Linked DNA regions of Tamandua tetradactyla. Each later gene encodes a partner of the first gene's protein in a complex. Links are inferred from orthologs where the notes say so. Each region holds a gene or a part of one and is shown in the gene's direction. Other genes may lie near its edges.

Evidence for each region.
Region 2: EXOSC7 (region 1) and EXOSC6 share a complex: the UniProt entries of both Homo sapiens proteins name them as parts of the RNA exosome core complex. The link is inferred for Tamandua tetradactyla from reciprocal best matches to the Homo sapiens genes EXOSC7 and EXOSC6.

Annotation. Positions count from the first base shown.
Region 1 is NC_135341.1:41,894,024-41,906,690, reverse strand, and holds the start of EXOSC7 (exosome complex component RRP42), read left to right. Parts: upstream 1-6,590; 5' UTR 6,591-6,641; coding exon 6,642-6,698; intron 6,699-12,667. UniProt on the Homo sapiens protein: Non-catalytic component of the RNA exosome complex which has 3'->5' exoribonuclease activity and participates in a multitude of cellular RNA processing and degradation events.
Region 2 is NC_135342.1:68,673,099-68,684,711, forward strand, and holds EXOSC6 (exosome complex component MTR3), read left to right. Parts: upstream 1-7,753; 5' UTR 7,754-7,809; coding exon 7,810-8,628; 3' UTR 8,629-9,028; downstream 9,029-11,613. Other genes in the region: AARS1 (alanine--tRNA ligase, cytoplasmic), read left to right, coding at 11-124, 1,067-1,273, 1,701-1,885, 3,231-3,339, 3,997-4,110, 4,757-4,876, 5,017-5,103, 5,542-5,655 and 1 more; uncharacterized protein LOC143660365, read right to left, coding at 10,574-10,597, 11,460-11,599. UniProt on the Homo sapiens protein: Non-catalytic component of the RNA exosome complex which has 3'->5' exoribonuclease activity and participates in a multitude of cellular RNA processing and degradation events.

The DNA of each region.
Region 1 (12,667 bases):
CATATGGTACCCACTGCCATCTAAGTAGTTGCTATGTTACTACTTTCTTTCATTAACTCTTCCTTGCAGGAAGTCAGTAACCCAGCAGGAAAATCTATTTACAAAGGCAATAATAAATTACTGTCCAGCTACACATTTAATAAACATGACAGACTCATATTATGAGTAGCCATTTGTAATTAAGTGCATGCTCTCATCTGACAGTGAATTGCCTTCTGGCCCCTGTCAGGGTAGACGCTGAGATGGGCATTTTGCATGGCAGATGCCTCAGTGTGGGGCATGCTGAATTCAGGACGGGGCCTTGACTCTTCCCAAGCTCTTACTGAATGTCTGCTGCCCTCCAGGCACAGAGTTGAGTGCTAGACATGCCCCATATTGTTTGATTCTCACATTCACTCTATCTCATGTCTCCACTTTCCCATCCCCTTTAGAGATGAGGATACCGAGACATGGAAAAACTTTCCTAAGTCATACTTGCAGAAATAGTAGAGACAGGATACACCCCCAAGCTTGCTCTCATTTCAGAGCCTATTATCACTCCAACCATTAAATTTTGCCCAATAACTAGAAAATAAAAGGGGAAAGGGTATAGCTGTCTCCACCAGTGACCCTGGGTTACTTACATCTGACTTTCCCACATATGGTTATATAGAAACAGTGCTATTGGGTGACCGCACTCAGCCTTACACTTGGGACATTCATAAGGCATGGGCCTGAACTTAAGCATCTTGGATTCTAAGGTCAAGCCCTTGCTGATCACCAGCCAACAGTCAGAAGACTGATCCTGCCCTAAGCTAGAAGGCAGGAGGGCTGAAGCCTCAGCCAGAAGAATCACTCTAAGATTTAGCCCCCCATATACGCTTGTGCTGAGGAACAATTCTGTGGGACTGTCTGTGGGGTCAATTAACAGGATGCTGCTTTTTCCAAGAAACCAACCAGCTAAAGGATCCCACCTGAGGGTGTTGCAAATGGCACTTGGCCCCACATTGTGCCATGTGCAGATACACAGCCACTGTGACATCACTTAGGCAACAGTTTAGCTTTTTTAGTGACACAAAGCAAAAGTGCTTGAAGGGATTTGAAAGAGTAGCTAGGGAAGAGAAAGAGAACCTGGTACTGCAACTGTATCCAGGATTAAAAATGGGAAGCCATTAGGCCTTCAGGTCTCCACTGATTCCACTTATCCCCAGGCACTATAAGTGGCCATGCAAGAAGCAGAGACTGGGGAGGAATCTGGGACAAGGGAAACAATTCGTATTCGACAAGTTCACTGTCCCTCCCCTTCAGGCTGGAGGCTCTCTGGAATCTGTTAGAGAGCTTTGGAGATAGATGGGAAGCCAATGTTAAATGGAATGAAGACTGGACTTGGAGTCAAGAGGCCAGAGTTCTACTCACAGTCCTGCCATTCTAATCTCAAGATCTTGGGCAAGGTATTCACTTTCCCTGGGCCTGTTTTCTGTAAAACAAGAGGGATGGTCCAGCTGATTTGCAAAGGTCCCTACCAGAGCTGAGTCTCTGACTCCTCTGTTCTCAGGAGCAAATTTAACATCTTTGTTAATGTCTTCAATTTTATAATATTTTTATCAAAAGCTTTCCTTAACTTCTTTTCCCCATTCTTTGCTAATATTCAAAAGGGATATTATTTTTATAAAGTCAACAATAACTGTAAATGGCTGCTAATTTTCTGAGCATGTTCAGTTTCTTCAATCAAGTAGGGAATGAAATCTCCTTTTGCTCATTTAAAATTTCTTCAGAATGGAAAAAGCACTATTAAAATACATCAAGTGCTCGCTTCAGCAGCAAATATACCAATATCGGAACAATATAGAGAAGATTACCATGGCCCCTGTGCAAGGATGACACGCAAATTTGTGAAGCGTTCCATACTAAAAAAAAAAACAAAAAAACATCAAACACATGCCAAAAAAACCCAAACAAACAAACAAAACACTGGTGCCTGCCCATGCAAACAAGAACAACAACAAAATACATCAACTATTATAAATGGTAAACTTGAGCAGTCTTAAAATCCAAAGTTAAAACATGACCATTTTCCAGTGTTTAAATACTTGTATATCCAAGATCTACTCTGAGTTTTATAACCTGGCAAGTTATGCATTTTAGGGTAAAATGAGGCTTAGAAAGTCCAAGCGATTTGTTCAAAGTTATAAGGCAAGTTAGTTTCAAAACCCAGATATTTAGACAGACATCCCTACAATAGATTGTTACTACCCAACCAACCTGCTCTTCTAACTTCCCGGCAACTATTTCTCCGTTTAAAGATGCATGCTCTGTACACAGCAAAGTCAAAACTTATTGGAACACAACTATGGCCAAAACTGTACTTGCCCTACTAGGCTCATCTTCCTAGGACATGAAATCGATCCCACTCAAAGGCATTCCATCTCCACTGACCTTGAATAGGAGATATTCATGTCTTGGGTGGCACAGAAAATCTAGAGTTCTATTGCCAAGTCTCTTTAGACCAAGAAGACTGTGATTTGGAGGAGACTATGAAAGACAGAGTTTTTGCGGCATTTCAGTTAAATTGTGAAAAATGACTGAATTAGGTGGGACATGCAACTAATAGCCTTCTCACCTTCACAAAGAAGGCCAGGGATGGCTGAGCCATTTGTTGCTGGAATTCTCCGTTTAAAAAGAAAGTACATGATTTAAAAATGCAAAAATGGAAAGAAATAAGAGGCAGCATAGCAGTGGCTTCCTTTTTTTTCCAACAGGTCAATATCCAGGCATTTCTACTTCAGACTCAGTTACCATCTATGGCTCTCAGGGTATGTATGCATGCCTAAATACTTCCAGATTTAACAATCAGTATACGTGACCCCCTTTTCTCATAAACACTGTAATGAGAGATGTAGGAAGTATCCTACCACCCCCTCAAAATGGAACACCCCTACAGATCTTTTCTTCCAGTGGGAACAAGCTTTACCCATATATTCCTATCAATTTTTCTATCACTGCATTTCCAAGAATGTCTAGAACAGAAGACTGACACAGACCTGCCGGCCAGTCTATGAAAGGTTATTTATATTGAGTATTCTTTAAGGCAAGGTATAGGCAAGACAAATGCAAAGTGTTTAAAGAAAACAGCTCTATAAGGAAAATAGATCACTTTGCACTTTCCTGGGGTGCTGGGCTTATGGTAGAAACGCAAAGAAAAGGCCTAAAATTTGGCCATGCCTAAGACCAGGAATAAAATGTTCCCCTGCTGGACTAAGAAAGCTTTCTCCAACTACAGCACCAAGGGGTGGATGGAAGCACCACCCCATGCACTGCCCCGCAGCAATTCTATTACTGGTTTTTATTGCTTTAATTAACCAAGGCTAGGTGGGACAGATTTACTCCATCTTCGTAAAGTTATTGTTGCCCACTAGTATCTAGTAGTAGCTCATCACCTCTTACACATGATGTCTGGCCTGCACAATTAGTACCTTATTACAGGCTGGCCTCTATTCTAATTACCATGCGTCTCAATTGAGCACTTTATTTTATTGTCTTATTCATGTCCTAGTTCAAGTGCCCAGGCCCCTCAACTACAATAGATTCCTAATTCCTTTTTGGCAAGTGCTATGGTTTGGGTTTCTTTTATCTTTCTCCACACCCATGAGAACGCAAGGGAACTTGCAGGCATGCAAACAACACTTCCTGATCATTTGAAGAGTTTCTAGATGCCTACTCTGGGAGCGTGACACATGGTTGGAATCTGTATCAAATCCATCGGCCTCCTCTGCTGGTAAAGGCTCTCCGAAGCTATTTGGCTTCAAGCTCTACTTAGTTTGAATCTAACTAACCTTTTGCCTATCTAAAAGAGTGGGCTGAAACAGACATAGGAACTTCCCGTCAGCATCACATTCCATGTTTCTCTAGAGAAAAGAATTCAAGGGGATATGAATTTATGTCTGAAACAGACTCTTCACTTTTGGGATTAAAGCTAACTATAATTTATAGGGCAAGTGCCAATTTCATAATATTGGTCTCCTTTACCAAATACTCTGGTGAATAAAATGGAGCCTGGAGGGAGACCACATAGGTGATGGTTAGGAGTGCAGGCACAGGAGCTAAATTGCTTAGGCTTGAATTCTGGCTGTGCCACTGACTAGCTATGTGACCTGTGACTTTGGTAAAGACACTTAACCTCTCTGCACCTCAGTTTCCCAATCTGTAAACTGGGGATAATGATAGCACCTGTCTCATAAGGTTTTAGTAAGGTATGAATTAATTTTTGTAAAATACTTACTACAGAGTATGGTACATAACAAGTGCTATGTAAGTCTGTGTTAAATAAAATAGAGTACAGAGTTTTAGTATAAACAGACTTCAAAATGGTATGCCCCAAAAAGGGTTAATGGAACTATTTTCCATTTTTGACTTTTGATTTTTTGGCTATTACACATTCTTTGAATTGCTTTAGTAAAGTAAAAAGAACTCTGAACTTGTGAGTTTTAAAAATGTTTTATTATCTCAACAAATGTGGTAAAAATTTCTGAAAACATTTAAGTTGAAGCATTAGGGAAGATGTCATTATTTTAATATAGAACTTAAAATTAACATTCTACTATTTACACCTCTCATACCTACTTACCCTAACGTATCAGACATTGTTCATGACATTATTTAGCAAATACTGCCAACCCCTCTCCAGCAAGGAAGCTTCTGGCAGTTTATGTTCTATATATTTAACTCTATAATGAAAGACTTTTATATAAAGATGGCCACATGGTATCCAAGTTCAGATTTTTCTTTCTCTTTTTTCTGATCTGTTAATTTGCTGCCAGCTTTTAAGTCCTCAATCCCCTCAAATATCCTCGTTATTAAAATTCCACATCTAAGATCTCTCCTTTGTAGCAATATCTAGCACAAAATATTGCTTCTAACATTGTTATCTCATCACAGAGGTCCTCACATAGAATCCAGCTGTCTAACTATACAGGCAAGCATCTATGTTCCCCAACAGGTGGGACACCTGTGCCTTCACAGGGAGGAAACCCTTCCAGCTTTACCTCTTGCAGCTTTCCTGGAGGACAAAGCCCAACCCTGCAAGATGTCTTCCTTGAAGGTGAACTTGTAGAAAACTATGTATAGACATAAGAAATAACTAACGTCCAGCCTACTAAGAAGTGATCATCTATTATGGGGCTCAGCAATTAAGTGCCTAAGAATGTGGGCAGACACCACTTCTCTGTACAACCTCTTATGCACCAATTGATGATACCATCATAGCTCTAACGACCATATTCTAGGGTTATGTTGGCCCTGGAGCCTCCTGCTCTCCTTGGGGTACTTCTCCAGGCAGGAGTTGTTTTTTACTTGTCTTCATGTTCCAAAGCTAGTGCAAGGTTCATCCATAGTAGTTTCCCAATAGTAGAGTGAGAAAATACACTGAAGACAATATCTGAGAATTACCAACTATTCTTTGGATGATCAAGCTATCAAAGGTTATTTATTTTCACGTTTGAGAACAGAGAGTTTCCTCAAAAGTGGGACATCAAGAAAAGTCATCAGACTTCATCCTTCTACAATCAGTTTGGGTCAATTCTCCTCCATTTATCTGCATGACCCCTTTCATACTTGTACAGTATGTCTGTACAAGTATGAAAGTATGTCTCTGCCTGTCTTAAAGGGTTCCTACGGTGACCCCAGCTTCACCTTGCAGGTATCCTCTGGATATCCAAGGCCCATACTCTGACTCGGCCACACGGGGCTGGCTCCCACCCGTACCCTCCCGGGCAGCTGTCCACAGCTCCTAGCTATCAACTCCATCAATTTGAGGCTTTCAATCCCCACTGGGAAGTGCAGGGGGCATCCTGGCACTGCTTCCTTTGCCAGCGCGGGTTGCCTCCCCACTACTCTCTATGAGACAATGGTTTGGCGATCGCCCAGAGCAAGGGGACCCTGCAAAGTTCTAGGTTAGCATTCTGTCCCCGTGGGGGTGATGGTGAGATAGAGTGAGGATCTCTCAGGACTAATGTCTTCCACTATCAACCCTACCCACTGAGAACCATCTAAAGAAGGATTCATTGCCTCTTAACCATTCTAGGGGCCGGGGAAATGGAACTGAGGATGGGGAGAAAGGAAAGGACAGCAAGGAGACAGCCCCGGGCCAATTACGACGCCCAGCTTTCCAGACTAGGGGTCTGTCTCTCTCTCTCACACACACAACCTGCTACTTCAACTCCAGCTCTGGGCCAACCACGCCGTGCGCCTCTCCCACTGCGAGTCTCCTGGTCCCTGCCCGCGCCCTCGCCTCATCCCAGCTTCTTCACTCCAACCCCCGCCCCCTCCCAACTGACCGTGAAGCCGGTGGCAGTTTCCCAGTCCCAGGCCCCCGGGGGGTTCCGTCCGTCGCCGCCGTCGCCTCTCCCTGGAGTCCCACACCCGGGACTCTTTTACGGGCTGCGGCGATGGCTCCACGCCTCGAAGTGCCACAGCTCCCTGGACTCCGCCAGTTACCGGACAGCGCGCAGGTGAAGCCCATCGAGCTCCCGGCAGCTACGGCGGCGGCAGCAGCGGCTGCAGGAGGGGCCGCCGCGCAGGTTGATGACGCAAAAGCGCGGGGAGGGTGCGATCCGCGCGGAGTTGGCGCGGGCTGGTGACGTATCTCGCGCAGTGCAGTCGGCAGCATGGCGTTCGTGTCGTTGAGTGAGGCAGAGAAGGTGTATGTTGTGCATGGCGTCCAGGTATCTGCAGTAGTGGCGTCGGGGGACGGCCGCCAGGTTCCGTTGGCCTACCCGGAAGGAGATTAACTCAGCTGCCGCGGGTTTGGCTTACCTTGTCATTAAGTGGCTCTGCGGCCGGTCTTTGCAACCTAGAGCCTGCAACGTAGGCTTTTTTAGGACTGGTGATCCGTTTAGGACTGTTTGCGTTCTTGCCGGTTTTCAGGTCTACATGGTTCTGAGCCCAGGTGGGAACCGGTGGGCGCTCCCGGAGACTTGCTTTTAGTGAAGGAGCACTACTCCCGGGACCATCTCTTTGGCCTTCGCATGTCACTTTCCGTGACTGGGCCTTAGATTTCTCCTATAGGAAATGGATACGTGGGGGTGGGTGTTGTGGAGCACACTGAAAGAGAGACCGCATAATTCGAAACTGCAAGCGAATTTGGAGTCTTTATTAGCCAGCCAGCGACTGCCTCAGAAACTTCCAAGGAGGAAGATTGAGAGAGCAGCACCCGGGGGTTTTCAAGGTGTGCTTATAAAGGCTAAAATCTTGTTGTGGTTTTGCAGTTGCTAGCAGGCAGGCATATCACAGAAGCAGAAAAATGCCGTTAGCTGTTGCCAAAACATATCCTGTTCTCTCAGTTTCCTAACATTGGTTATTGTTAAACTCTTGGGGACATTCTGCCCCAATGTTGTGGGGACTTTCCCTGCTTGGGCCTGATTGATTGCTCCTGGCCCTCCACAGTGGGGGGTTCCTGGCCCACTTTTCCTCACCTAGTAGTTGGGAGGCACAGAGAGAGCGTGCACCCTAGGTGAATGCGCTTTGAAAATATAAGTGTCTTGCGAATAAAGGGGAGGAATATTTAGGTTTATAAAGCGGCTCTTTAAATCGATAGCATAATTGTTGCTGTTTCCCATTTTGCCAGTGGAGAGCTAAAATCCCTAGAAACAGTTAGAACCAGGCATCTTCTGTGTTCATTCATCAACACCTGCTTTTGACCACTCCAGAGGACTGGAGGACTTTGGACTTGGTAATGAGCCACCTCAGTTCCCACTTTGGCTGTTTCCCCATTTGTTATGTCACTGTGCAGCCCTCCCGTCCAAGTTCTTCATCCCACTCTTTGCAGAGTTCTGGTGTCAGCCCCTTCCCCTTCCCTTCCTGAGCCGAGGCCTGCTACTACAAAGTTAATGGTCCCGTGGTGTGGCCATCAGGTTAAGCGATCAGCTATGATCAGCTATCGTTAAAGGTCCACAACGGTGAATAAAGCTCATGATCTTTTTGAAATTGTGCCGTGCTGTTATCCTCGGTTGTTATAGATGAAGAAATGTCAACATTTGGCTTACAGGTTACATATTAAATCTGAATAATAGAGTCAACAGTTCCATGTGCTTTTAAGTTTATGCTTCAGATCAGAAATAGTGGGATATGTGTGTGTTATTTGTTTGGGGGCGGGATATATAAATCCTCACAGAGCTATTAAATTTATCCTTCTGTCTTAATTTTGTGCCATTCTTCATGTGATTTTTATTCTCAGAGATGCTTCTTGGGGAGGCATTAAGGATAACAATTTGCCTCTAAATGTAAAATCCTTTTTATTTCTTTCTTTGCTACCACAGTCATGAAATATTGATTTCACTGTGCAGTCCATTTTTTCTCACATTCCATTTCTGACAGTGGGACCAAGGGACATAGGTTCCTTGTCTGTTACCTCCCAAGGCTAGACAGATCATGTCCTAAGTTCCAATGGCAACTCATTAGCTATCCGGCAGTATATTAAGGACCCATTTTATTACACATCTATTATGTGCTCAGTGCTGTGAAGAAGTAAAAAAAAATACAAGCTATGTTTCTGGCCCTTGAGATGCTCAGGATCTAGTTTGGGCAAAATTAGTTGTTTATTTTTCATTATTGAATATCCAGCCTGTGGCATATTATGTGAGAAGCAGTAGGGGCACTAAAATATTTGTGAAATGCATAAATGAAAGATAGGTAAGACAGGAAAAATGAATAACGTATAGACAATGGCATATAAGGTATATGCCATAAGATACATACCGAGGGAGTGTAAGTCAAAAAAGGAACTGAAGATTACTGGAGGCTGTAGTGCTCTGGAAGACATCCTTAAGACAGAGGATTTGCTTCCCTAAATCCATGGCAGATATGTTTCTACAGCACTCAGTATTTATTCTTTCATTTAACACATAGCTTAACCTGACTTGGGAGATAGGAAGGAGCTTGCCCTTATATTGTTCACATGCTAGAAGTAAGATAAAGAAATTTCAAATCTAGTTGTGTGTTTATGTTTCATTAAAAATTGTATTGAGTGCTATGAAGGAAAAACCTGAGAACTCATCTAGTCTCTTCAGATTTCCCTGAAGAAATGGCTTTTGAGCTGAGCTTTCAGGGTGACTGCCAGTTAGGCAGTAGCATAAACATTCCAGGGGGTGGGATGGTGAGTCCCCAGTACCTCAGGTGGAGGAAGCATGGAGCCACAGGAATGAGCTGGGAGTAATGGTGGAAGATTGGCTTACAGAGTTGGGCAGAAACCACATCATAGGGTCATAGAGCCTCAGCCAGTCTCCCATCATGGGTCTTGATGTGTAATCATCTGTTGATTTGTTTGTATGATATCCCTAAGGCCTAGGGAGCCCTTCGACCAAACCCAACAAGAAGGCATCTAGGGAGTCTGGGTGATACATTTTGGAAGGGGTTAACCTACTAGTACACAGATTAGGGCAGAGAAAGACAAAATGGATCTGAGGAGGTGAGGGTAGGGCAAAAGGAAAGTTTGATAAATCACTATTTTGATATATGATTTGATTGCTTTCTCTTAAGGCCCCAATTAGCCTTTGAAGACCAGTATGCTCGCCCACTCTTTTTTAGGTGCATACCCACTCTTTTTTAGGTGCATATTGTATCATAGTTTTTATCATTGCATCTAAACAACTATTCTGAAGGTAAATATCATTAGCTGTATTTTATAAATGAGGAAGTGATCTCAGAGGTTAAGTCACTTGCTCAAGGTCACAAGGTAAGTGAGTGGTGGAGTGAGGATTTAAACCCAGATTTGTGTGATTGATTGCAAAGCCCATACTCTCATGTCACCTTCCCACAGCAGTGAAAGTCAATGCCTTTCATTCCTTAGAGATTTAGAGGCAAGGGAAGGGAGGATCTCTGCTTCTTCTACTTCTCTTCCTTTCTCCTTTCCCCTAAAAGCTTGTAGGGAAACAAGAAGGAGAAGGGGAAATTCTGAAACATATACACCTCCCCCAACTTTTCTAGACCTTTAAATATTATATGATATTTTCTGTTATTTCTTTAGGTAATGTTCTAGTTTGCTAGCTGCCAGAATGCAAGACACCAGAGATGGATTTGGCTTTTAATAAAAGGGGATTTATTTCATTAAAAACGTGTAGTTCTTCAGCGGAAAGGCAGCCAACTTTCAACTGAGGTCTTTCTTACACAAGATGATCCCTGCTGGCCTTCTCTCCAGCCCTCTGGGTTCCAACGACGGGGTGATTCCTTTCTGCATCTCCAAAGGCCTAGGCTGAGCTGCGAGTGCTAGATGAGGTATGCTGAGCTGCTTAGGCTGTGCTACGTTGAGCTCTGTCATTTAAGCGCCAGCCAGTTAAATCGCACATCATTCATTGCAGCAGGTACACCTCCTAGCTGACTGCAGATGTAATCAGCAACAGAGGAGGTTCACATGCCATTGGTTCATGTCCACAGCAGTAGAACTAGGCATTTCACCTGGCCAAATTGACACCTGAACCTAACTACCACAGGTAGTATATTCCCCAAGTCGAGTTCCTTTATAACCCTCTTTTGCATTTCTTTTGTTTTATTTTGTCTCAACTGTTTCTTCTCTGTTCACAAGAAGAAACCTGGAGACAGATTTCAGAATTTCCAGAATCTATGTTTTATCCTCTTTCCTGGCTTGCTTAACTGGCTAGATGTGTACTTTCTGTCATCCATGAGAAGACATTACTAACCTTCATCTTAGTCCAGTGGTTCTGAAGCCTCAAAGTATATTTAACTCACATTTAAATTCATATTCCCAGACTTTACTCCAATCTTCTAAATCAGAATCTCCAGGGCTAGGGCCTGGGATGGACATTTTCATAAAGTATTAGGAGATTTTGATGCAGCCATCAGATCTGACTCAGGAACTGGTAATGGGAAGCCACTGGCCTGGTACGACCTTGAGCCTGGTGCAGAAATCTATGCTACTCCCCTGCCTGAGGTCACATGGTCTCCCACCTCTGTTTGAATGAGTATTTGGTGTCAGACTGAGTAGTTTCTTTCCTAGCTCTGCCGCTCACAATGTGAGTGATTTTTACCTCAGTAACCTAAGCCACCTCCCCCTGTGTAAAATGAGGATATGTCCACTTGGGGAGTGGGTTGTGAGGAATGATTGGAGAAGAGATGTCTAACACTTGGCATGTGTTAAATACTAAAGAAAAGTTGGCCCTCTTTCAAGTTTGTTTCTTCTGTTAGAAGTATGGCTTTGTCCTAAATCATCTGCATTCTATCTCCAGCCTTTATAGTGACTCCATTAAAGGTTCACCCTGTGACTTTGAGATTTAAGAGCTTTTGTTTGGGAGAGTTAGAGATTCTTAAATTATTTCAAGAAAAAGGGGATTTATGGCAAGGGCTAGAAAGTTCCCCGGGAGTTATATGGTACCACCTCTCATGGATCACGTGGTGTGTGCAACTCTTTACATCTCTTGTGATACCTTTGCTTCTCTGCTGAAGTTTATCCCTTCCCCCCAGCCACTTGCTATCTAGCTTCCCTTCTGCTTGCTGAATTCTGCCTTGGGCCTGGGTCTGCAAAGCTGGACCAGATGTCATCCCTTTCCTAAGGGAAGTTGTTTTCTAGTAGGGAAGGTGGTTTGACTTTCAGTTCTCCTGCAAGCTCTGCAGTTTTGGACAAGTCAAAGCAAGGTAATGAGGGGATGAACGTAGCCTCAGAGGACCATATTGAGCCTGAAATCCCCCCAGGTGTGTTGGATTAGTAGCACAGCCTTGTCCGCTTCTAGTAGAGAGTATAGGCTGGGTTACCTGAGTGAAGAAAAGAGAATGAAGAAAAGCAGTTCTGGGCTAAGTTATATATACTTCCTCTCTATCTACGAACAGGGTATTGAAACTTGTTGCCTCAGTGTCTTCATCTGTACTTTGAGGGTACTGCTCTCTCTCTGCATGATTTTTGAGGATTCAGTGAACTAAAAAGTCATGCCCCCAGAAACAGAGGAAGGGAACTTGGTAAGATTGGCGTTATTCCCACTCTCTAGACAAGGGAACTGGCTGAGACCTGCTGAGAAACTTGCTCTAAGTCACAGCTGCAGTGGAGATTTAAATGTAGGTTGGAAGGTGACTCTTTCCATTACTCCACACCCAACTGGCAAGGTTGTGATCACCTGGGTAGCAACACTGTAAAACTTTAGTAGCTATCCCAGCATCCAGAAACCCTTTATCTAGAAAGCTGCTTCAGTTTCCTCTGCTCGGGACAGGGTTCCACCCCATGGTTTGTCTGTCGACTGTTGACAGCCCTTTAGTTATGTATTTATTTATTTTCTTTTTGCATGGGCCGGCACCGGGCATTGAACCTGGGTCTCTGGTATGGAAGCCAAGAACTGTCATGCCAGGCAAGAACTCTGCCACTGAGCCACCATGGCCCATCCCCCAGCCCTTGATTTTTAAAATGTAGTTTTCAGTTCGGGGCAGCCCCTGCTTAAATGGATGAATTATTTTCCTCCTGAGTACTGCAGATAAATAAAACTTGTGGTAGGGCACCAGGCTCTGAGCCAGGCCAGGCAGGCTTGGACAATATCCCAAGACTTTTATAAGGAATTTGGATTTAAAAAGTTGTTCTGGGTGCAGTGATTCATGGACCAGTCGGTTTGGTTTTCTCCTATTCTTTGGGATGCTATTTTTCGATGAAAAAAATGTTATGTTTTATGTGGTCTTTTAGAGGCCAGTTTGTAGCTTTTCA
Region 2 (11,613 bases), on another chromosome or scaffold:
TCCCTCTTAGAAAACTGAGTTTACAGTGAAAAATGCTCAGGTGCGAGGAGGATATGTGCTCCACATAGGAACGATTTATGGCAGCCTAAAAGTAGGGGATCAGGTCCGGCTGTTTATTGATGAGGTGAGTTGCATTATGCTGGCCAGCACTGGATCTGGTTAGTAATCATTTCCTTCTTTGGCTTTAAATTGCTCCATCATTGTTACTACTAAATGAAATTATAAGTAGAATGCAGTGTAAATGTTGGTGTATTTGGATTTTGAGTATGTAACTGAGAGCTAAATCTCTATGTTCCCACTTTAGACCACAGTGATTTCAGTTGAGATCCCATAGATGTGTTTACATGGATTGTTTTTCTCCAGGTTAATCTCAGGAGCCAAGGATCCTTCATTAGTTAAGAAATAGGTTCTGTTGCATGTGGCAGAGCTCCAAAGTAACAGTAGCTTAAAACAAGAAATGTACTTCTCCCCTTACAGTTCAAGCTGATACCGACGGTCTGTCCCATAAAGTCATAGGGCTCAGCTTTTTCTTGATTGTTTTTCCATTGTTGGTACTGGGGTGTTACTCTTGTCTTCATGATCCAAGAAGGTAACTATTAGATCTATTTCTAGGCCAGAGGTTGGCAAATATTTTTTGTGAAGGGCTAGATAGTGAATATTTTTGGCTTCATGGAACACACGGCCTCTGTCATCACAACTATTCAAATCTGTTATTGTAGTGTGAAAGTAGCCATAGACAATGTATAAACAAAGGGGTGTGGTTGTGTTTTAATAAAACTTTATTTATATAAACAGACAATGGGCCAGATTTGGCCTGAAGGCTGTAATTTGCCAACCTCTGTTCCAAGCAGTAGCTATACAGATCACTTTTGCTCACAACCCATTCACCAGAACTCAGTTACTTACCCACACTTAGCTGTAAGGGAAGCTGGGAAATGTATTCTTTATTCTGGATAGCCACGTGTCCAACTAAAAATTCTAATATTTGAGAAGGAGAGAACAGGTATTGGGGAACAACCAGCAGTCTGTTACAGCCCTGTACACTAGCCAGCTCTACCCTTTACAGCCCCGACGGAGACCTGTCATGAGCAACCACACAGCTACCCACATTCTGAACTTTGCCCTGCGCTCGGTGCTTGGGGAAGCTGACCAGAGAGGCTCACTGGTTGCTCCTGATCGCCTTCGGTTTGACTTCACTGCCAAGGGAGCCATGTCTACCCAACAGATCAAAAAGGCAGAAGCAATTGCTAATGAGATGATAGAGGCAGCCAAGGTAGGTTGGATGAAGTCTAAGCTTTTTGGGTCATGGAGCTCACTCCAGGTACCATCACTTTGTATCCTCGGAGCCTCAGCAATTTCGATGCTCTCACTCCATTGTACATATTCTGTCTTGCACATCAATTTCCTTAAAGCTGGGTAGGTCTTTGCTCTACCCTCTCTTCAGGACAAGCTAAGTTCCTTTAGTTATGTCTGTTTTACTATAGCGTGTCCACATAGCAAAATGGTTGAAAAACCCTACCTTGGTCCCCTTGACTTTACATGTGGTGCATTATTTCAGAAGGCTCAGGGCCATGATTGGCAGAGCTGGGGTTGGAAATCCAAGGTCCTGCCTGCAAGAACACATTCTCCCTACTGCTTCCTACTAGACCCCCAAAGAAGATCCTCCCCAGCTTTTTTTCTGTCTCTTCTTTGCATGGCAGCCTGTCTATACTCAGGATTGTCCCCTAGCAGCAGCTAAAGCTATCCAGGGCCTGCGGGCTGTGTTTGATGAAACCTATCCTGACCCTGTGCGAGTTGTCTCCATTGGTGTTCCAGTCTCCGAGCTGCTGGATGACCCCTCTGGCCCTGCTGGCTCCCTCACTTCTGTTGAGTTCTGTGGGGGAACGTGAGTACCTTGCAATGAGTGGGAGTAGATGGAGTCGCTTGCCCTTTACCCTTTAGGGAGGCGGATAATAGGATAGACCAGTTGTTGTTATTCTAAGGTTGAGATGACGTCCTTAAAAATGCAGCAGCCAAATGGTATTCCCAAGAAGCATCTTAGTGCTCTGATCAGATCCCTCAGTGTCTGACCTTAACATTTCCTAGGTTTGTGATGAAATGTTCTTCTTAGGAGAAGGAAGTAAAAACACTACATTAATACTACACAGTGGCTTTCTATTTTTCCCTCAACTGATCTTAACAAGAAGACTGGTGTGAACTCAGGATTTAGCAAGACTATGGCATGTCATCAAACTCTTGATCCAGTTCTGAGCCTCTTTCCATTCCTGAGATCCTCACCTAATTCCCTTCAGGGAATGAAACTCCATTGTCTTAGAACCTCTAAGACAGGCCATGGTGTTAGGACCAGTTTGGTGTGGGAGAGCCACTTGTTTCTGCCAACTTGATTTCTCCATAGCTCTTGTTGTCTTTTGGGAAATGTCATGGTGGCCTGGGGAGTTTCCTATTTCCAGCGGAAGTCTGGAGGAAAGAACATTGTTAAGGCCATGGCAGAGTCTATCCAGTAGATCCAGGACCTCCTGCAAGCTTTTAGGCAGGCGGGGAGCAGTGGGCAGGATAGGCTCAGGATCTGGGGGGTCAAATGCCAGACCTCCCTCTGGTTGGCTAAACTGCGCCTTCAAATGATTCCCACTTCTGCTTAATACCTATTTGTAAGAAGTTCTTTAGAACACAGGAAACTGTTTTCAGAGACCTTATACCTTCCTCACAGAATGATTGTGAGAGTTAAGTGTGAGGTTTTCCAAGCAACTTGAGAATAGAATCTATTTGTTGAAGGGGCTGTGATAAGATTTTAGAAGTAATCCTCCAGCATTTTCAGCCAGTGAGCCAGGGTATAAGAATATATGTATGCTTGTATCCTATCAAAGAGGGCCAAAAAATGTGAATTAATTTATTTTCATGTTTATCTCATTTGATTTTCACAACAGCTTAGTGAGAGTGAATTCAACCCATGTTATTTATGGGAAAAAAAAACAACAACAGGCTCAGAAAGATTGCATCTCAGTGTGATAATGCCCTCAGACTTGGGCTTTCTCTCTTTTCCCCTTCCTGCTGCTTCTCTTGTGCTCATTTACCTAGCGCCATATTCCGGAATTCCCTTAAACATTAAGGACCTTTACTCACTTTACCCCTTGAGAGAACTTCCCAGGAAGGGATTACAAAATAGGGCTTATACATCCCGGCCAAAGGCTCCCAGGCTCTTTTCATCCTGGACTTTCTGTTTTGCAATTCAGGCACCTGCAAAATTCAAGTCATGCAGGAGCTTTTGTGATTGTGAGTGAAGAAGCTATTGCCAAGGGCATCCGAAGGATTGTTGGTGTTACAAGTGCTGAAGCCCAAAAGGTGAGTAGATGAGGCTGGCCTAGCTAACTGGGCGAGAGGGGCTTAGTCCGCTAATTCACAGGTGCCACAGTCAGGATTGAAAGTACAATTTACTGTGCTCCCGGCCCACCCAAATTTCCTCCAGTTATTCCTAAGTGGCAGAATAAAGTCACCACTACTCTTATGTTTAATCTTTAAAAATATATGTAACATAACATATATTTTTATATGTTACCTCCATAACATATCCATGTCTGGGAGGTAAGCCATAGTTTTGTCCTCAGGATGTCTCTGTGTATCCCCAGGGATAGTAAGAGATGTATGGTATAGAGGGACAGTTATTTGGGGGCAGGAACAGTAGCTTGTCCCTAACTGATGCTGAAGTCTAAGGGGTGATCAATTCTTGGGGTGAAAATGGCTCCTGATTTGCAAGTTCTTGGTCACCCCCTAAAGCCCAGTTATGGTCCAGCCTTTCTGCTGACAGGCACAAGGAAGGTGTTTTCTTTCTGAGACATGAGGCTATAAATACCTGCTCTGTAAAGGAAGGAAAAATTCTGATGTCTCAGGGTTTGCTGCTCCATATCTGTTGTCCATGCTTTGCCCAGTTGCTTACAGACAGAATAGTGAACCTGGAAGTTACCTGCTCTGGATTTTATGGTTCTGATTGTCCCCTTCCAGGCCCTCAGGAAAGCGGAAAGCTTGAAGAAGTTGCTCTCTATCATGGAGGACAAAGTAAAGGCTCAGACTGCACCAAACAAGGATGTGCAGAAGGAGATAGCTGACTTTGGTGAGGTAGGGTTGCCCTCCCTCCCAGCTTCCCTCCTCTCCTTTCACCAGGGCTGCTTAGTGCTGTTCCTGTGTCTAATAAGACATTATATCCTTGTTCTTAAAGAACTTTCACTGTAGCCAATCAGGTTCTGGTTCTCAGTGGAATGGGGCTTTGGGTGGACTTCTGTTAGACTATAGCCTTGCAAAACTCCATGCATCCTGATACCTGCCTCCTGCTCCCACTGCTGAGAGCAGGAGAGCCCATCCTTAACACAAAGGAGCACTGGTATTAAGGGAGTTGGGGAAGATGCTATGGGTACCCACTGTTTCCAAGCTTGCCTGGTGGTTATTATACTAGGGGCTTCCCAAAGAGCCCATCACAGGCTCTGTGTTCACTGCCTGGTAAGGGCCAGGTCTTCCACAGGCTCCCAGCTTCTCTTTACCCTGTCCCTTTCTCTCCAGCCCTGCTTGTCACAGCTGTTGCAGGTGCTCATAAAGTGACTGGTCTCAGGGCCAGTAGATAACCTTTTTTTTTTTTTACTCTCTCCCTGTCCCAGACACTATTTGGGAAGGACTTAGGTATTCAAAAACAGAAAGGAGGGGTGGACTGGAGCCTCACGTTCTAGTTCCTTGTGGTCTAGATTCAAATAGTCTTCCTCTTCTGGTCCAGGCACTGGCCACTGCAGTCATCCCTCAGTGGCAGAAGGATGAGTTGCGGGAGAATCTCAAATCCCTGAAGAAAGTCATGGATGATCTAGACCGGGCTAGCAAGGCTGATGTCCAGAAGAGAGTGAGTCTTGGTGGTGCTGGTAGCTACAAGGGAGCAAAGAGGATGTATTTACTCAGCAAAGCCTGTAAATACTGCTTTCAGGGTTTCTGAGTCTAGTTTGTTGACCTGAAGGCCTCTCTTCTGGACTTCGTTCCTTGCAGGTGTTGGAGAAGACAAAGCAGCTCATTGACAGCCACCCCAACCAGCCTCTTGTCATCCTGGAGATGGAGAGCGGCGCCTCGGCCAAGGCATGCTCAGGGCAGGGGGGGGTCTAGACATTGCTCTGCGGGTTCTGTTGCATGTTCCCGTCCCTCATAGTCTCATCAGCATCTGGTGGCTGAAGTATAGGCTTTGTGGCTCTGTGTAGAGTCATTGCCTGAGGACCCGCAGCCTGGGATTGAGATTAGCTGAGCCATGGAGAGATCTGATGGCCGCAGAGCTGTGGCTTCTGGTGGGAAGGAGCACTTTCTGGAGGTGGAAGGCAAACCATGGAGCCAGAGTGTGGGCAAGGGCTGTACTCAGTCCTTCTCTGTACAGACTCCCAGGGGCCAGCACTTGCTCTCGGAAGGCGGGGTGGGGTATGGCACTTGGAGGGCTGCTGAGCTTTGCAGACTTGCTGCAGGACAGTATGACTTCCTCCCCACCCCCACCCCCAGCTATGCCCTGACACCAGATGTTCCCCACAGGCTCTGAATGAAGCCTTGAAGCTTTTCAAGACACATTCCCCTCAGACATCTGCCATGCTCTTCACAGTGGATAATGAGGCTGGCAAGATCACATGTTTGTGTCAAGTCCCCCAGGTAAGAACTCCGTGCAGCCTTGTTCCCAACCTGTTACAGTGGGCAGTGTTGTTTTTAGCTTTTCAGAGGGAGTTTAGTTATTCTTGCAGTTTGCTGCCAAGGCTCACATAGGTTTGTGTAACGCCCCCTTAGAGACAGCTGATTCCCTGCCCGCCTCCTGGTCACCTCTGCCAGCACCCCTTACCCTCAGGCCTTCTCTTTGGTGAATATGTTTCACCGTACTGACCAGCTGATACCTAGGTGTCCTTGAGTACATACTCAGTGGCCATCAGCTGCAACCCTGTGCCCACTATATAATCTCTCTGCCTCCGACAGTGGCCTACATCATCACTCAAGGCAGGAATGGGTATCTGGGTCCCTCATCTATCCTTCCCTTCCCCTCTCTATCACCTTCTCAATCCCATCCTCTGCTGACTCCCATTTCTCCTTGTCTTTCAGAATGCAGCCAATCGGGGCCTGAAGGCCAGTGAGTGGGTGCAGCAGGTATCAGGCCTCATGGATGGCAAAGGTGGTGGCAAAGATGTGTCTGCCCAGGCCACAGGCAAGAATGTGGGCTGCCTGCAGGAAGCACTGCAGCTGGCCACTTCCTTTGCCCAGCTCCGCCTGGGAGATGTGAAGAACTGAGGGGAGGGGTGACTTCCAATTGGAAGCAGTTCTCAGTCACCCAGATGCATCCGTCCAGCTGGGAGTGCTCCACCTGCAAGGACATTTGAACCCTGGGACCTTCAGAGGAACCCCGTCCATCCTTCTAACCCAGCGATAACTGGAATACAACCTGGGAACTGTCATGTCCTGTGACTTCGGGGTCATTTTACGTTTCTGTCCTGAGCCCTAAACATCAGCGCCATCTGTCTCAAACCACTACCCCAGGATTGCTATTTAACATCGTCATGCTCCTGTCTCCAAGTGTAGTTCTCTGCAGACCCAACGCTTCTGGGTCTGCAGATAGGGAATCATTTTTTGCTGCAGAGAATAAAAGGACCATGTGCAATACTTGATGATGTCATGTGTTTTCCCCTTCCCCAGTGTGACATTTATTCCTGGGGTTTCTGTGGGTTGAATGTTGTGGCTGCTGCTGGTTCCTGGCTGAAAGGACCAATTCTTGCTGAGTCCAAGTTCAGACCTTCTGAACTTGGGATTTTCCCCTGGGATTGCCTTGACATATTTGTGGAGGTGGAGGGAGAACAGGTTGGGAGAGATGGAGCGGGGGCATTATTAAAAGGTGATCTACAGGTTCACTGGAAACAAATGTTCCTTTCCCTTTCTTGGGGAGCTGCCTCTAGTAGAATCTCTCCATTTCTTAGGTCTGTATCCTCTCTCCCTTTGAAGCTGTTGACATGAAGATGGGGTTGTTAGGTCAGAAAGGAGGTATTTAGAGTCATTGCTGCTTCCTTGACCCAAAGACCAACAGTGATGATGGAGCACCTGCCCTGGGCCTGAATCCAGTTTTCCCAAGTCCAAAGAGAGCTAGGTTTGGAAACAGTAGTGTGAGGGGAGATTAAAAGGTGCTACTTGCCTGTGGTGACTGTGACTGATGCCCTGTGGATACAGTGGGCTCATCTTGGGGCCAGGGTCACTCTCGGCCTTACTGACAGAAGAGGGAGAAGGAAAGACAGGTTTGTGCTAGGAAAGGTGCAGGCCACCTGTTACAGGCACAAGAAGCACCCATCAAGTTAAGAGGCTTAAGGATACAGAGATGACTACAGAATATATTGGGCTGGGGAGAAGGGGAGGGAATTCCATTCATGCAGGGCTCTGAGGGTACAGGTGTAAGACAAAAGGTCACTTTTGGAGCAGTGAGGAAGATGGATATAGAGTAACCACGCAAATATATGCAAAATTTAAAAGGTACAACTTACATAAATGAAGACCTATGCTCTGGGATTTCCCATGCCTGGGGGGGCTAAAGGTCAGCGGGCCGGGCCCAGGTCCGCAGACGTTCCATCGGTCCAACGAGCCCAGAGAGTCCAGACTGCAGACTCGGGGCTCGGTAGAGTCACCTTTTTCCCTCCAAGGCAGCAGGGGGCACTGTGGCCACGCCGCGCCCGCTGCTCTCCCGAGAGCCCTTGCGTGGGCGCGCGCCTTTAAGCGAACGGAAAAGCAGGCGAACGAGGTGGGGGACGCGCGGAAGTGGCTCGTACGGCCGGCTGTGCCATGCCGGGGGACCACCGCCGCATCCGCGGGCCCGAAGAGTCGCAGTCGCCGCAGCTGTATGTTGCGGATGAGGAGGAGGCGCCCCCCGCCCGCGACCCCACGCGGCTACGGCCCGTGTACGCCCGCGCCGGGTTGCTGAGCCAGGCCAAAGGCTCGGCCTACCTGGAGGCGGGCGGTACCAAGGTGCTGTGCGCCGTGTCGGGCCCGCGCCAGGCCGAGGGCAGCGAGCGCGGCGGCGGCCCGGCCGGGGCGGGCGGTGAAGCCCCGGCTGCCCTGCGCGGCCGCCTGCTCTGCGACTTCCGCCGTGCTCCCTTCGCGGGCCGCAGGCGCCGCGCGCCCCCAGGCGGCGGCGAGGAGCGCGAGCTGGCGCTGGCCCTGCAGGAGGCGCTCGAACCGGCAGTGCGCCTGGGTCGCTACCCGCGCGCGCAGCTCGAGGTGTCTGCGCTGCTGCTGGAGGACGGAGGGTCGGCGCTGGCCGCCGCGCTCACGGCCGCTGCTCTCGCCCTGGCCGACGCGGGTATCGAGATGTACGACTTGGTGGTGGGCTGCGGCCTGAGCCGCGCGTCGGGCCCGGCGCCTACCTGGCTACTGGACCCCACGCGGCTCGAGGAGGAGCGCGCGGCCGCCGGCCTCACTGTGGCGCTCATGCCGGTGCTGAACCAGGTGGCCGGGCTCCTGGGCAGCGGGGAGGGCGGCCCGACCGAGAGCTGGGCGGAGGCCGTGCGCCTGGGCCTCGAGGGTTGTCAGCGCCTCTACCCGGTCCTGCAGCAGTGTCTAGTGCGGGCTGCTCGCCGAAGGGGCACCTCCGTCCCGCCCTGAACCCGAGACCTGAGCAACGACGTCCGCCAAGGGAGCGTGCTGCTGTCGACCCACCACTAAGGACCTGCGCCAGACTAGGCTGAGCAGAGCACTGGAGAGGATCTGGGGCCGGCTTCCCACCGTCCCACACAGGACTGATAGCACTGGACAGCTATTGGAACGGGTTGTGCTTTATAAGAAACTTTTATGCTTGAGCTGGCTCCCAGCTACTACCAAGTTGAAGAAACCTGTGAATTCAACCTGGCTCCAAGTTGGAAAAGACTTATATCTGGAAAATGAGATTTGGAGCAGGCCAGCCAGTGACTCCCTCCTGTATAGCTAGACTGCTTTAGAGTGGATGAACAAGGGCACTGTTTCTTCTTGCTTATCTGAGCTAAAACTAAACAAAAATCCTTTTATATCTGAAAAATGTCTTCTGTTGTAGTTCTTCTTGGTATGGGATTTAAAATAGCAAGACTTTTCTGAATAGTGTGTACTCAGACCTCTGGTGCCAAGGGCTCTGAACACATTTGCCTTCATGTTTCCTGGCCCTTATGCCCGTATAAGCAGAAGACAGGCTGAAATATCTGAAACAGTTACAGGGGTTGATGTGGAAAAATACACTTTGTTGGAGGGGACGCTCACCCCCTCCAAGTACCAGAGTCAGAGCAGCTGCTCAGATATGAGTTGGGGAGAGTTTATGGCCCCAGGAACACTGGGAGTACCTGTAACCCCTGGTTCATACTGGGCACTGGCAAGATCACAGCCCAGGATTGAATAGTGGAAACAAATCCCATCTTTCCAGGTGTCACAGGTAGAGCAGCACAGTCAGAGGCCTCATCCACTGCTGGTAAGCAGTGGGGGCCTCTAGCTGGCTTCATGTCCTAGTTTCTCCTGGAACAACCCTAAAACCAGCTCAGGCTTGGAAGAGGGCAGACTAATTGCCAGGATAATGGGGAGCCAGATATGGCCTGGCCATTCTGTAGGGCAGAGCTGGCCTGAATGACCACAAGACAGGCTGGGGGAATGTCTTCTGCTCTGTATGGCTCCTGTTCCCTGCAAGTCAGTGCACAGGTCTGGACTGAAGGAAGCTAGGCAAGACTTGGCCCCTCCTCTTTACCCCAGCTTGTTATGAGCCGCTAAACTTTAGTGTCTCAAGGGCTTTACTTCTCTAGGAAAGACAACCTGGGACAGTCCAAGGACCAGAATGAGGAGGCTTTTTGAGACCACACCAGGAACCTCTGACCAGAAAGAAGAAATACAAATTTAATTTTGTTACCTCTGACATAGTACATTTTTCCAGATCAGTTTTGAAATACATAGTATCATACCAGCAAGAGACGAGAGAAACGACATAAAAATGATACACCTATTCTGAAGGATAGCTATATCATCTAGATGGGGAATCTAAAACCAAAAAGGGTTTAGTGAACCACAAGCCCAGGACATAACAGCTCAGTTTCAGACTAAGAGGGGACCACAGGGACACACTTATGTTTCCTGTGCCCCACTGTGGCTGGAGAAAGCTGCCCGGGCCTGACAGCTACACAATATTCCATACCCTGACAGGACTGCTGGGGCCAAGTGCTGATGGGACATTGGGAGGGGACAAGAACAGCAGAAGCAATATCTGCTCACAGAGAAGGCTGGGAGTGCTCTCAGGGCTCTCAGGGAGCCTGCCCAGATGCCCCCTACAAGACCAGGCCTCAGCTTCTTAAGGAGGATGGTGATCTGGTCCCAGGCCTACTTCCTCCCCTGGCCTCAGCATGATCTTATTGGAAAGTTGACATCCAAAGCACTACCATGGGAGGCTTCCTGGCTGGTCTGGCCAAGCCATTCCTCTGTTCTATGCCTTGTGTCCAGAATGGGTACCTCAGGTAACATGGGAGCCACTGGTAGACTTCCAGACACATGGAGACAAGGAAGGGAGCCACTCGGGAAGGATTCGATCTTATTGGTTGCCCTTTCAGTCTGAAGCATGATTCTTCACCTGTAGGGAAAAAAGAGAACTGGCCAAGACTGCCCCAGGCGCACTACAGCTAGGGAAGAGAACACCCTCTGCTAGAGTAGCTCGGTGCTACTCCAGACTTCCTGAGACCAAGGAACTGGGGGCAACCAGGAAAAGGAAAACATTTGCTCCATCTAGCTCATTCTTTTCCTACTGGAGATCTGACTTGGGTCCTGGACAGTGGTGACGGTCCTCCTGAGCCCAGCAGGCCAAGGGTCAGAGTGGGGGTGGGTTGGAGGAAGGGAAGCTCTCAAACAGCAGTGGAGATTCACCGCCTGCCTCAGGGACCACCAAGGGGAGGAGAAGGTGATAGGGCAGGGGAATAGTCTGGCTTTTAATGCCGTGCAAAGGGTTTTTATCAGTTCAAGGCTTGGCCATGCTCTCCATCCAGTGAGGCCAGTGCCCCAAGCCTTCTTCCCTGGGGAGCATGGTACAATGCACACAATCCAAAGATTCTTGGGCAGCATGTTGGGGCAGTGGGGTGGAAGAAATCTGGGTCTTAACAAACTTACTAGATGGTTCTCATGCCATGGAGCTGGGCCATGGGGCACACCTGTGACATTCCTTCTACAATGCTCAAAGTATTCTTCCCCAACTCCCCCATCTACCAGGAAGAGATGATATTTCAGCCCAGAACTGACCCAGCTGCCAGCGGTCACTCCTGGTCCCCATGAGCCAACCAAGGTCCAGAGTTGAGATAAAAAACTGGCCAGGGCCCACCCTTCCCCAGGGTACCTCACCACATTGGATTACTGCACAAACCCGAGTCCCTCCCTTGTCACAAGGGTCCACAAGGACCCAAACACAAGTAGATGAGGATGGGGGCAGGGACCAAGCTACTCACCTCTGGCTCCGCGTCTGTGCCCTCCTCCGAGCTGTCCTCCTCCGGAAGGGCTCTCTGAGTCCTGGGCTCCTGGTGGGGCTCAGTGACTCTGTATAAGGACCCCTCAGCCCCAGGGCCTTTGGTCTCACGGTCCTTGATCCCTGTGCAGGGAGAA